Linked DNA regions of Tribolium castaneum. The protein of the gene in region 1 interacts with the protein of each later gene in a pairwise test. Links are inferred from orthologs where the notes say so. Each region holds a gene or a part of one and is shown on either strand. Other genes may lie near its edges.

What was found.
Region 2: the proteins of golgin subfamily A member 2 (region 1) and CycH interact in binary tests that used the Homo sapiens proteins (3 or more experiments, as listed by UniProt). The link is inferred for Tribolium castaneum from reciprocal best matches to the Homo sapiens genes GOLGA2 and CCNH.

What each region holds. Positions count from the first base shown.
Region 1 is NC_087398.1:3,528,341-3,533,872, forward strand, and holds golgin subfamily A member 2, read right to left. Parts: upstream 3,160-5,532; 5' UTR 3,105-3,159; coding exon 3,042-3,104; intron 2,918-3,041; coding exon 1,238-2,917; intron 1,188-1,237; coding exon 249-1,187; 3' UTR 186-248; downstream 1-185. Other genes in the region: PIG-A (phosphatidylinositol N-acetylglucosaminyltransferase subunit A), read right to left, coding at 4,141-4,291, 4,343-4,612, 4,665-4,832, 4,886-5,015, 5,070-5,304, 5,352-5,532. UniProt on the Homo sapiens protein: Peripheral membrane component of the cis-Golgi stack that acts as a membrane skeleton that maintains the structure of the Golgi apparatus, and as a vesicle thether that facilitates vesicle fusion to the Golgi membrane.
Region 2 is NC_087396.1:24,076,704-24,081,280, forward strand, and holds CycH (cyclin-H), read right to left. Parts: upstream 2,860-4,577; 5' UTR 2,775-2,859; coding exon 2,658-2,774; intron 2,611-2,657; coding exon 2,414-2,610; intron 2,363-2,413; coding exon 2,161-2,362; intron 1,851-2,160; coding exon 1,504-1,850; intron 1,456-1,503; coding exon 1,326-1,455; 3' UTR 1,279-1,325; downstream 1-1,278. UniProt on the Homo sapiens protein: Regulates CDK7, the catalytic subunit of the CDK-activating kinase (CAK) enzymatic complex. CAK activates the cyclin-associated kinases CDK1, CDK2, CDK4 and CDK6 by threonine phosphorylation.

The DNA of each region.
Region 1 (5,532 bases):
AGTTTGAAGTACGAGTAGTTTCGAACTACAGCGCCAGTTCGGATTCAGTTTTCATAGTCTGATCAATGTATATTTGTCAGTTCGTGTTTACTATTAAGAATCTATGAATAAACTTAATATATTCTGATATGAAAAATCAGAGCGCGTTTCTCATTTCTTAACTATTCCCAGTCAACACACACGAGTGCAGTTATGTAATAAACTTTAATCAAGCTATTTAAAATAACAATATAATCACAATATCCCATTTACACCGTAATAAGTTGGCCCGAACACCACGGACAATGATGTATATTCTCAGCCGGTTGTACCAAGTTACTGGTTTTAATCTCCGACAGGAGTGCGATTATTTCTTCTGCTGTTTCGGTACTTTGAGTATCACTCGGTTCGACTGTGAACGTATTCTGCGCGATTTTATTGATTTCGTTACTGATTTTCGCGTGTTCTTCGCATAGATGATTGTCGTGGTGATGTTCCAGCAATTCGGACGGAACGGCTCCTTTTTCAAGGACCAGCTTTTTCACCAATTCGTTCAATTTGTCTAGCTTGGCTTTCATCAATTCGCGGTCATTGGCTAACTGTGACAATTGCTGGTCTTTTTCAATCGCTTTTTGTTTTAATAGACTCCTCTGTTGTTGATAGAGCGCCACATACTCTCCTATCGTCTCGGTCTCACCTTGCAATTGCAACACCAGGTGTTCGAGACGTTGCTTCTCCTCTGTTAAATTGGCAATGTCTTCCATCGTCTTCAAAAATTTCTCTTCCAAATGTTTCATGGCCGCCTCTTTGTCCAAAACAATTCCATTGTGGTTGCTATCAGTGGCATCTTTTGTCTCATTCTCTCGTAACTCTTTTACGTCACTACTACACACTTTCAATTGTTTTATCTCTTCGTTCAGTTTTTCGATAGTTTGATTGGCTTGAAACAGCTCGTTTTGTAACGCTTGTGAACTATGATCCTGTGCCTCGTAATGCCTCAACCTATCGTTCAACTGTTCACTCTGCAGCAACTGTTTGTCGAGCTCGGACGAGTTCTCCCGAAGATGCGACAACTCCTTATCTTTGATTTCAATCGCGTCGGCCAAAGTTTGCAAATGCAGCTCTGTTTTTTGCAATTTTTCGAACAATTCCTTATTGTTGCGCTGCTCGATTGTCAGTTTTTCGGTCAATTCGATTTTGTCATTATTCTGTAACAATAATAATAAAGACAACTCCTTTAAAACCGAGCGTTACTTACCAACTTCATGAAAACTTCCTGCATACTGTCCATCTGATTCTTCAATTCGGTGTTTTGAGACACGGCTCTGGCCGCTGCGACTTTGTCACTTTCCATAATTGCTAATAATTTTCCACTGTCGGGCTGATTGGTCCTCAACTCCTCTACGATCCGCTCCAGCTCACTTATACTCTCTCCTTTGGCTTCCAACTCCTTCAAAAGCAACTCCTTTTCGTTTGCTGCTTTAACATTCTCCTCTTGCAACTCCACGTTTTCGGTTTTGAGTCTCTCGACTAATTCTAGGGCGGCTTCGAGTTCGGCTTTTGTTTCAGTGGTGGGTTTTTGCACGGCAAAGGACACTTGATCGTTCTGCAAATTTTGCAGTTGTTTCTCCAACTCGCCGATGTGTTTAATCCTGTCCTGTTCGCGTATCGCCAGAGATTCGTTCTCCTTCTGAGACGTCTCTAATCGAGTCGCCAGACTCGACAATTGCGCGTTCAACTGTTGGGCATATTGCTGGTACTGTAGACTAGACTCCTCCCTCTCTTTCGATAAAGTTTTAACTGTTTGGCTCAAATCGGCGACTTGTTTCTCAAGAGCGAACTTCTCCTGAGTCAGTTTCTCGATCTCACTGCTGTCTTGATCCCCAGTTGTGAGTTGCTGGATTTTAATATTGGCCATGGACAGTTGATTGGACAACTCCTTGATCTGCTGTTGGAACTCGACGCAACTTTCAGAGCTACTTTTGAGTTTTTCTCGAGCTTCAAGCAAATCCTGGAGCAGTTCCTCTTTTTCATCTTTCACAGACTGGTAGCTCTGTTTCAACTTTTCCAACTCGGAGTTTTGTTCGCGTCCCATGTTGTCGTATTGCGACTTTTCGTTCTTAAGGAGCGCAACTTCACGTTCAAGGTCTGCGACACGTGATCTGGAAGTTTTCAAGCGACCTTGTAACTCCTCGCATTCGGCTGTTTTCTGTTTCGCCGCCAACTGGAATTGGCTGAGATTTGCAACTAATTCGGCCTTTTCCGCCACGAGAATTCCCACAGTTTGGACATGACATTGTAACTCTTCTCGAAGAGTGCTAACTTCGTGCTCTACTCTAGTATCGGTGTTCAATTGTTTGTCTTTAAGCTCGGCCTCTAATTGGCTGAGCTTCGTTTGATATTCTCTCAAACTAGCGTTCAGTTCTTCATTTTTCACCTTTTCCTGATTGAGCAGTTCCGCCAACTCTTGATTCCGAATTTCTAGCGGTGACTCGCCCCCCAGTGGCTCATTTTCAGGGGGGCTTATTAATTCGGCCATTTGGTCCTGCAACTGGCGCAGACTCTCAACTGTGGACAACTGGGGGCGTGGGGAAGGTTTCTGGTCAAATTTGACGCTGTCAAAGGCTTGGAAGTTGGAAATTTCGTCATTTTTATTGTCTTCAGGTACTGAAAACGCGTGGTTTTGGTCACCATTGAGATTATTTGAGGGCGTGATGCACGCGAAAGGGTCGTTATTTTGTGAAAAATTATCGAAAAATGCCGTTGGCTGCTGATAGCCGTTGTTGAAGTTTACATTACTGAAGTAATTTGGAAGTTGCGCTGGTTCATTTGTGAGACCTTCCACAGGTGTCTGCTCGCGACTTGTGGGTGGTGACTCGACAAGTTCGGGTGCTTTCTGGGCAGTGTTCTTCTTTTTTTCCTTTTTTAATTCCTTGAACTAGAAGCAAAACAATGATGTGGCCTAATTGGACTAGGGGGTTTTAAAAAAAGCGTGTGCATTTTCTCATTACCTAGACGTGTTAGAAGCTAAACAAGCGTAAATGGCATTTTTTGGTAATTACCTTTTTTCTAGCAGATGCCAATTTTTGGGCTTTTGACACATCTGCCATATTTTTTGTTGACATGTGTCAAACACGTCACAGTTTAAATGTCATCGAAATAGGGGATTTCATGATGAGGGTTGGTGCAAGAGGTATAAAAGTCGCGTTACGTTGGCAATGGTGCTATTTTCCGGTGAGTTTTTGTCTGGTTCGTTCGTTTACAATGTTTATCCGCAAAAATCTTGCAAAAGAAATGCAATCTACTGATTTTACACAACTAGAAATTAAGAAAATGAAGGTGAGTTATGGATTTGTTATGTTGATTCTAGTATTTTTGCGGTAGTAGCATCATTATGATGATTTTTTTTATAACCTGAATGTCTCTGTTGATTCAAAAACGAGCTTTTTAATACTGACTTTTCCATTAAATTCATTCATTTTTCAACTACGATATGTATTTGTGTTGATTTCTGTGATCTATTTGCAGATTTCGTGAAAATGAAGTGGAAAAAATCATGACACTTAGTGCATTCAGGTGAGTGGCAGTTGTTTTTATTATACTTGCAAAGGTGTACTGATATTATTTGGTTTTTTGTTTTTTAATTGTTACAACTTCATCTAATTTACATTTTGCTCTAGATTGTTCCTAAAGTGAGGCCTGAACAAAAGAGTTGTCAACTACTATGATTCCAGCTTAGGCCTAGACGGTAGGTTGTAATATTTTATTTTGTTTTATAAACTAAATTTTAAATGATGATCAAGTATTTGCTATCTGAGTTACTGTGCAGATAACCTTTACTACCACCAAAAAAGTAAGACTGAGTTGGGAAGCAATTTCTCAACAAAAACCATTGGTTTGAGTTGATATAATGTGTTTAATTTTTTTGCAGTTCATTGACGATGAGGAAAAATCAAACTGTACTACAAAACTCTGAGGTAAGTGTGCATGTTTAATATTTTTGTTTTTTCTATTTATCTACAATGATGTTAAGAATTTCTTCACCTGATAGTTTCATCAACTAACTGAAGACAGTTGACTCTGAGACTTGAACTTATGTTTTAATTATAAGTATGAGAGAAAGACAGTTTGGTAATAAAAAATTTTATTTACAGGACACAACTAATAAATCTTCTCTTTACTTTTTTTCTTATAATTATAATCCTTGGCGATATCGATGTATTCCCTTGGGTATATGTACTCCAAAAACTGCAACATTAGATAACACAAAGAGACCGCCAGTAAAAATGGCCAAACACCACTTGTTTTGTAACTAAAATAAAAACAGAAAAGTTAAATTGAGTATTAATGAGTTCAACCTCACCTCCATAATTGCTCCTGTAATGTTTTATTCCTTTCTTGCATAACTTTCTGATACACGATTTCCGTCCGTTTTGAAACGTTCTCCCAGTTGTAATAATTTTTTATCCTCAAATTACACAAGTACGGACAATTAACTTTGTTATTTTTCAAATCATCAATTGCGGTTTCGAGGGTTTTAATAAGAGAAGGGACGTTTGGTTCAGTCAAGTAAATCAAATCTTCAGGCAACACTTCTGGGATTCCCCCAACTCGGGTCGAAACGACTTGTAATCTATAAAAATTAGCCAAGTTACCAAAGTTTATTGTGACTTTGGGAAGCAAACCCGCATGAAACCGCTTCTACTATAGCCATACAATACGCTTCAGTCAGGGAAGTGTTGAGGAAAATATGCCCTTGGTTTAGTACATTGCGAACAAGGGAATGCTCCAGGCTACCCAAAAGGGTGACCCTATCGTGCAACCCTTGCCTTTCCCGTATTTCCTCAAGCAATCTATGAAATTGATTATGATATTTGAGGCTAAAAAATAGGGTTTTTGTGTTTACCCGCGCTTGGGTCCGTCGCCTGCGATTAAAAAGTTGATTTTATCGTGTTTACTGCACATTTCTGAAATAATTTGGGCCGTCAAATCCACGCCTTTGCGGTAAACTAGTCTTGAAACCACGACTATTGTGACTAAAAAAAACCTTCGTAAATGTTTAATTTTATAATTAGAAGATTTTTTTATACTAAATTCGCTCGATCTTTGGCTGGGATCCGGCATAAATGCACATGTATCAACTGCGTTTGGAATCACAGAAACCCTTTTACTGCTGACTTTTGCCCGCAGCACCGTATTTTCTTTCCCAGTGTGTGAAACACAAATCCAGTGATTGCAATCTGTTAACGACATTTGTAACAATTTATTTGTTATAACCGCACTAGCGTCAGCAAAACCAAACAAACTGTGGTCCGTAAAGACAGTCTGCAAATAAATAAATAATTTTGAATCGTATTGAGAGGGTTGTATACCCTTAATCCCATTAAATTTCCGATTACCAGCGCCTCGTGTGCAAGGGCTGAAAATGCCGAATGGCCGTGAATTATCTCAATTTGTTCCCTTATCAAAATGTTGCGAATTAGGGGCACATTGCATATCATTGTCGGCAGAATCGACTGGTTATAAAACACCCTAATTGGAAGGTAATAGACC
Region 2 (4,577 bases), on another chromosome or scaffold:
CAACAACTTAAATTTAACAGTGAAGCCAGCGACCATCTGCAATTATTTCGGGAGTTAAGAAATTAATCTCTGTTTAGACAGCGGTGTCATGTACCGGCAATTAGTCGGCAGGAAATCTTTCAGGAGATAACTTGAGTTATATGCAGACGATTAATTAATTCCAAATTATTTTATTAATTAAATAAAAATCCCAATGTTTGCCGATTTGTAACAATGTGGTTTTGGTGGCAGGCTAATTAAACCGCTGTAAATACTGCAGCAAGTGTCATAAATTTATTTAAAACATCCCGCAGTCCTGGTAAATTGAATTTAGCACCAAAGGCTTCTTAAATGTCGTTTATAACAGAAATTAATGTCACTAATCGTCGCACACGAAACCGTCCTTAAATCAGCCAATATTTAAGGCCTGCAGTCATGTTTCCCCGTAATATATGGGCGCAAGATAGCGGCGTGTTTGTTTTTTCGTGTCATTTTTCAGCGCTTTCCAGATCGTTAGCTGTTTAAAATCTAATTCTGTCTCTGGCGCAAATTAGCGTCTTCTTAACGTGTCTGCACTTCCCACTCGACATTTAAAACATAAATTTCGCCACGGCAAATTAAAAACAACTGTTTGGTGTTGGGTTCGTGCTTTTTAGAGTGTGGCGACAACAGATCGGACGATGAGAGGAAGAAGAGGCCGAGGACGGCCTTCACAGCCTCACAGATTAAATCTCTGGAGGCGGAATTTGAACGGAACAAATATCTGTCGGTGGCGAAGAGGTGCCAACTCTCCAAGACGCTCAAATTAACGGAGACGCAAATCAAGATCTGGTTCCAAAATCGGAGAACCAAGTGGAAGAGGAAATATACGAACGATGTCGAACTTCTAGCACAGCAATATTACACCTCGATGGGGATTCTCACCCCAAGGCCTATTTTTCTGGGAGACAGATTATGGTATTTATTCACTTCTTTTTTTTTGTAATAAATGAAAAGTTGCTTTATTTGATGTTTTTTAATTTCGTATTTTGTGCTAACAACTTTTAGGTTTTTCAACTATCCTGGCCAACCCGGGCTCTCTAGTGTGCCCTCAGTGCCCAGCATGTTACCACCGCCGCCCACCACACCCCTGGTGCCTAGACAGTGTGTTCCAAACTACGTCAGCTTTCCGGAACATCACCAGAATGAAAACTCACCAATGATGCAGCTTCAAAATTTCGGAAGACATTTCGAAAATTCGTAATTATTTACTCAACCAAAGATTTGTAATAAGTCATTTTTGTACCAAGGAAATAAATGTTTAAGTTATAGTTTTTATTCACAAAATTGAAATACAGTACACAATATTACGCTACTTCGGGTGAACCACCCACTGACATGCCTAAGGCGGAGTTATCCAAAGAATCAGTCCTTGTCGAAATACGGTGATACAAATCGTCATCTTCGTCCAGCAAAGCCTGCATTCGTTTCTTATATCTGGAACGTAACAATTAACCCAAGAATAAAAATTTGGAGGAGATGTACATTTCACTATCGGGATTATTTTCAGGATTCCTACACTTCTCCAATTTCTTGTCTAAAAGTTTCTGTTGATTTTTATCAGGCGTAGCGTCGACCATTTTAACAATAGATCGGATAGCTCGCACGGCTTCAATTAATTCAGCCAATTTGCCACTTCCCTCAACCCCAAATAGTGTATCAGTGACGTAAGAATCTAAATTTTCTTGCAATTTTGAGGCTGCGTGTAAAACAGCAGCTAGTGCCACTTGACTCGGAGAATACAATAACACAACGTCTGTTAAAAATGCTCTCTCGAGAAAATGTTCAGTTCCAGGCCTTAAACGTTCAGGATCATTTAATGCACATCTAGTCTAAAAACAATTAAATGGAAATCAAATTCGATGAAGAAATAAAACTAAGAGGCGAAACGAATTTTTTACTTCGGGTCGGAAGTCGTGAACGTATAGAAAAGTCCACAAAACTTTACTAGAGAGAGTTTAAGAAAAAAATTTTCATTTTCATAAAATTTTAAGCAAAAAAAATCAAAATTTTACATCTCTTGAAAAGCTGGTATAATTCACTGGTAATTCTTGGTGAAATGAGTGAAGTTTTTGGGGCAAAAAAGCGTAAAAAGCGCCGTCTCGCCTCCTAGAATTAGTCTTTCAAGGTACTTGAACCAACTTTAATATCAATTAGTAGTCCCTCCACTGGCCTGAACGGATTGTGAATCGACAACTGGAAATTCAGCTGCTCCATCAGCAACAACTCGTTGTTCAAAATAATATCAGTGGCCTTCTCCCTGTCGCCTTTGAGATTGGCAACAAATTGCTGAATGGAAACATTGAACTCTTCAACCTTACACGCTAAATAAATACACGTGACCCTTTAATAAACACAGTCAAAATAAACCAACACACAAATCCCTCCCCCTCACATTATCTCCTTAGGATGGTGGTTCATTACCGAATTGTGAATGTAAAAACGCTTGAAATAATGGAACGCAGTCCCGATCACACACCGCGTCATCGGAGGTTGAAACCGTTTACAAAAATCGCGTAATCGGATTTCGTAACGTTTCACCATTATCTTTTCCTCCTCGGCAGTGAGAAAAAACTCGAAACGAGCGGCTTCCTGCACCAACAAACTCAAAAAACGTGAAACACTCACGAAAAACTTACATTGATGTGGCGGCCGTAGGCTTGGATATGCTTCAAATTCGCAGCTTCGCGTAATTTATTTAACTCATCTTCGCTGTTAAACATCCAATTTTTACACTGCGTGCTCGTGGAAAACATATTTTGAGCGATTTTGAAATTTGTTTAGTTAGGTTACGTGCTAGTTTGACACATGACGGCTGTCACGCAACGTGCCGACCTCTCTCGCAAATTTGTAACACTTTATTTAAAGAAAACTGTAATCTAAATTTTTTATATAATGTATTTGAAAATTTTACAAAAAAATTAAAAACGTAGAAATTTTGGTATCATATGGTAATTAGCTGCGTTACTTTTATTTAATTAAAATTAAAATTGTTGTTTCTAGTTTTGTACTCGCCTACTAGATGGCAAACAAATGTCAAAGTCGGTAGTATTAAGGTGGGATTTTCAATAATTAATCTACACCTACACAATAATGAGCAAAAATAACCGTTGTTAAAATTCAAGTACGTTAGATTCGACTGGGCTTTTGTTGGGACAAAATTTCCATTTTTGCTACGTAGTAAAAGTAAAAAATAATATGTTTACTTAAGTTGTAATAACTGTCATATATGTTTACAACTTGTTTATGGAAATAGTTAATTGCTTATAGTGAAGAGATATCTAACAGCGTCGTTAAAAGTATTTTTATGTTTAAAAATATATTTCTTTGTGTCATTATTTAGGATCTAGTTCATGGTCTCAAACAATATGCGCCATATAAAAAAAATGTCTCGATGTTCTGCACAAAATTTCATTAAAACACAAACGGTTTTTTACGCAATTTTTAAAATTCGTTCAATATCCATTATTGCTTGGAAAAAATTAATAATTACAATATTAACAATATAAAGATTATAGTTATTTATTATACAAGACGATAATGAGATTGATTACTTATTTTATGAGCAGATGAACAATCTTTATCGTCGTGTATATAATGTAATATAACATTTTTTTCTGTAGCAAGATTTCAAGTTTAAAAGAAAAAAATTTTTATCGTTTAACCTTCAAATGCATGTCAATTTGTAAATTAAATTGAACAAATAATAATAAAAAAAATAATAAAGGTTTATAGAGAAAAAAAACTAAGTCAATTTTGAAAATACTTAGCGATCGAAGACCTACAACGAATAAAAAACGAAACTGCCAATATTTCGCAAAATATTTTAATTAATTTTTTGCTAAATTTTGTTCAACGTATTCATTATTGCAATGGAAATTATATTGAACATTTTTTGTAACATAAAAATCATGTATTTCGTGTTTAAACATTTTTTTATTAAAATGTGTTCTTCTTCAGTTAAAAGTGTTTTTTAACAATTATAGTATTAACTTATACTTATTATTTGATCAAATTTCAAGCGGCAGAGCTCTAACAATAAACTAAAAAAATGTTATATTTTTCCAAATTTTATTTGTTCGGTATTTTTTTAAGTTTCGACTAAAATAAGGTATGCAGGTGTTATACCATAGCACAAAAATGCTCTTTATAAAAAATACATTAAAAAAAATCAAGTTGGCTTTGTATTTTTAGAACAAATACAGTTTACACCCAATTTCAATAAGTTTTATAAATATTTTTTATAATAATATTTAACTGTACTTGTTGGAGACTTGTATTGGTAACAGAGAATTTAAATTCGATTAAAAAATGGTAATGAATTTTAAATTTGTCAGAAAATACATTAGATGCCAACCAATCTGATCTGAAATTTACCAATTTTCAGTTGAAAATTCGTCTTTCTTGTGTATAGATTTGCCGGAATAAATCTCTGGGAATGAAAAAATCGTTCACGCAATGTGGGAGCAAAAACGTCGAATTCCCTGTTCGTAATGATACGATTCTCGCAGTTGTGTGCGTTTTTTTCGCCACAAGAAGTGAACAGCAGTTGCTGTTTA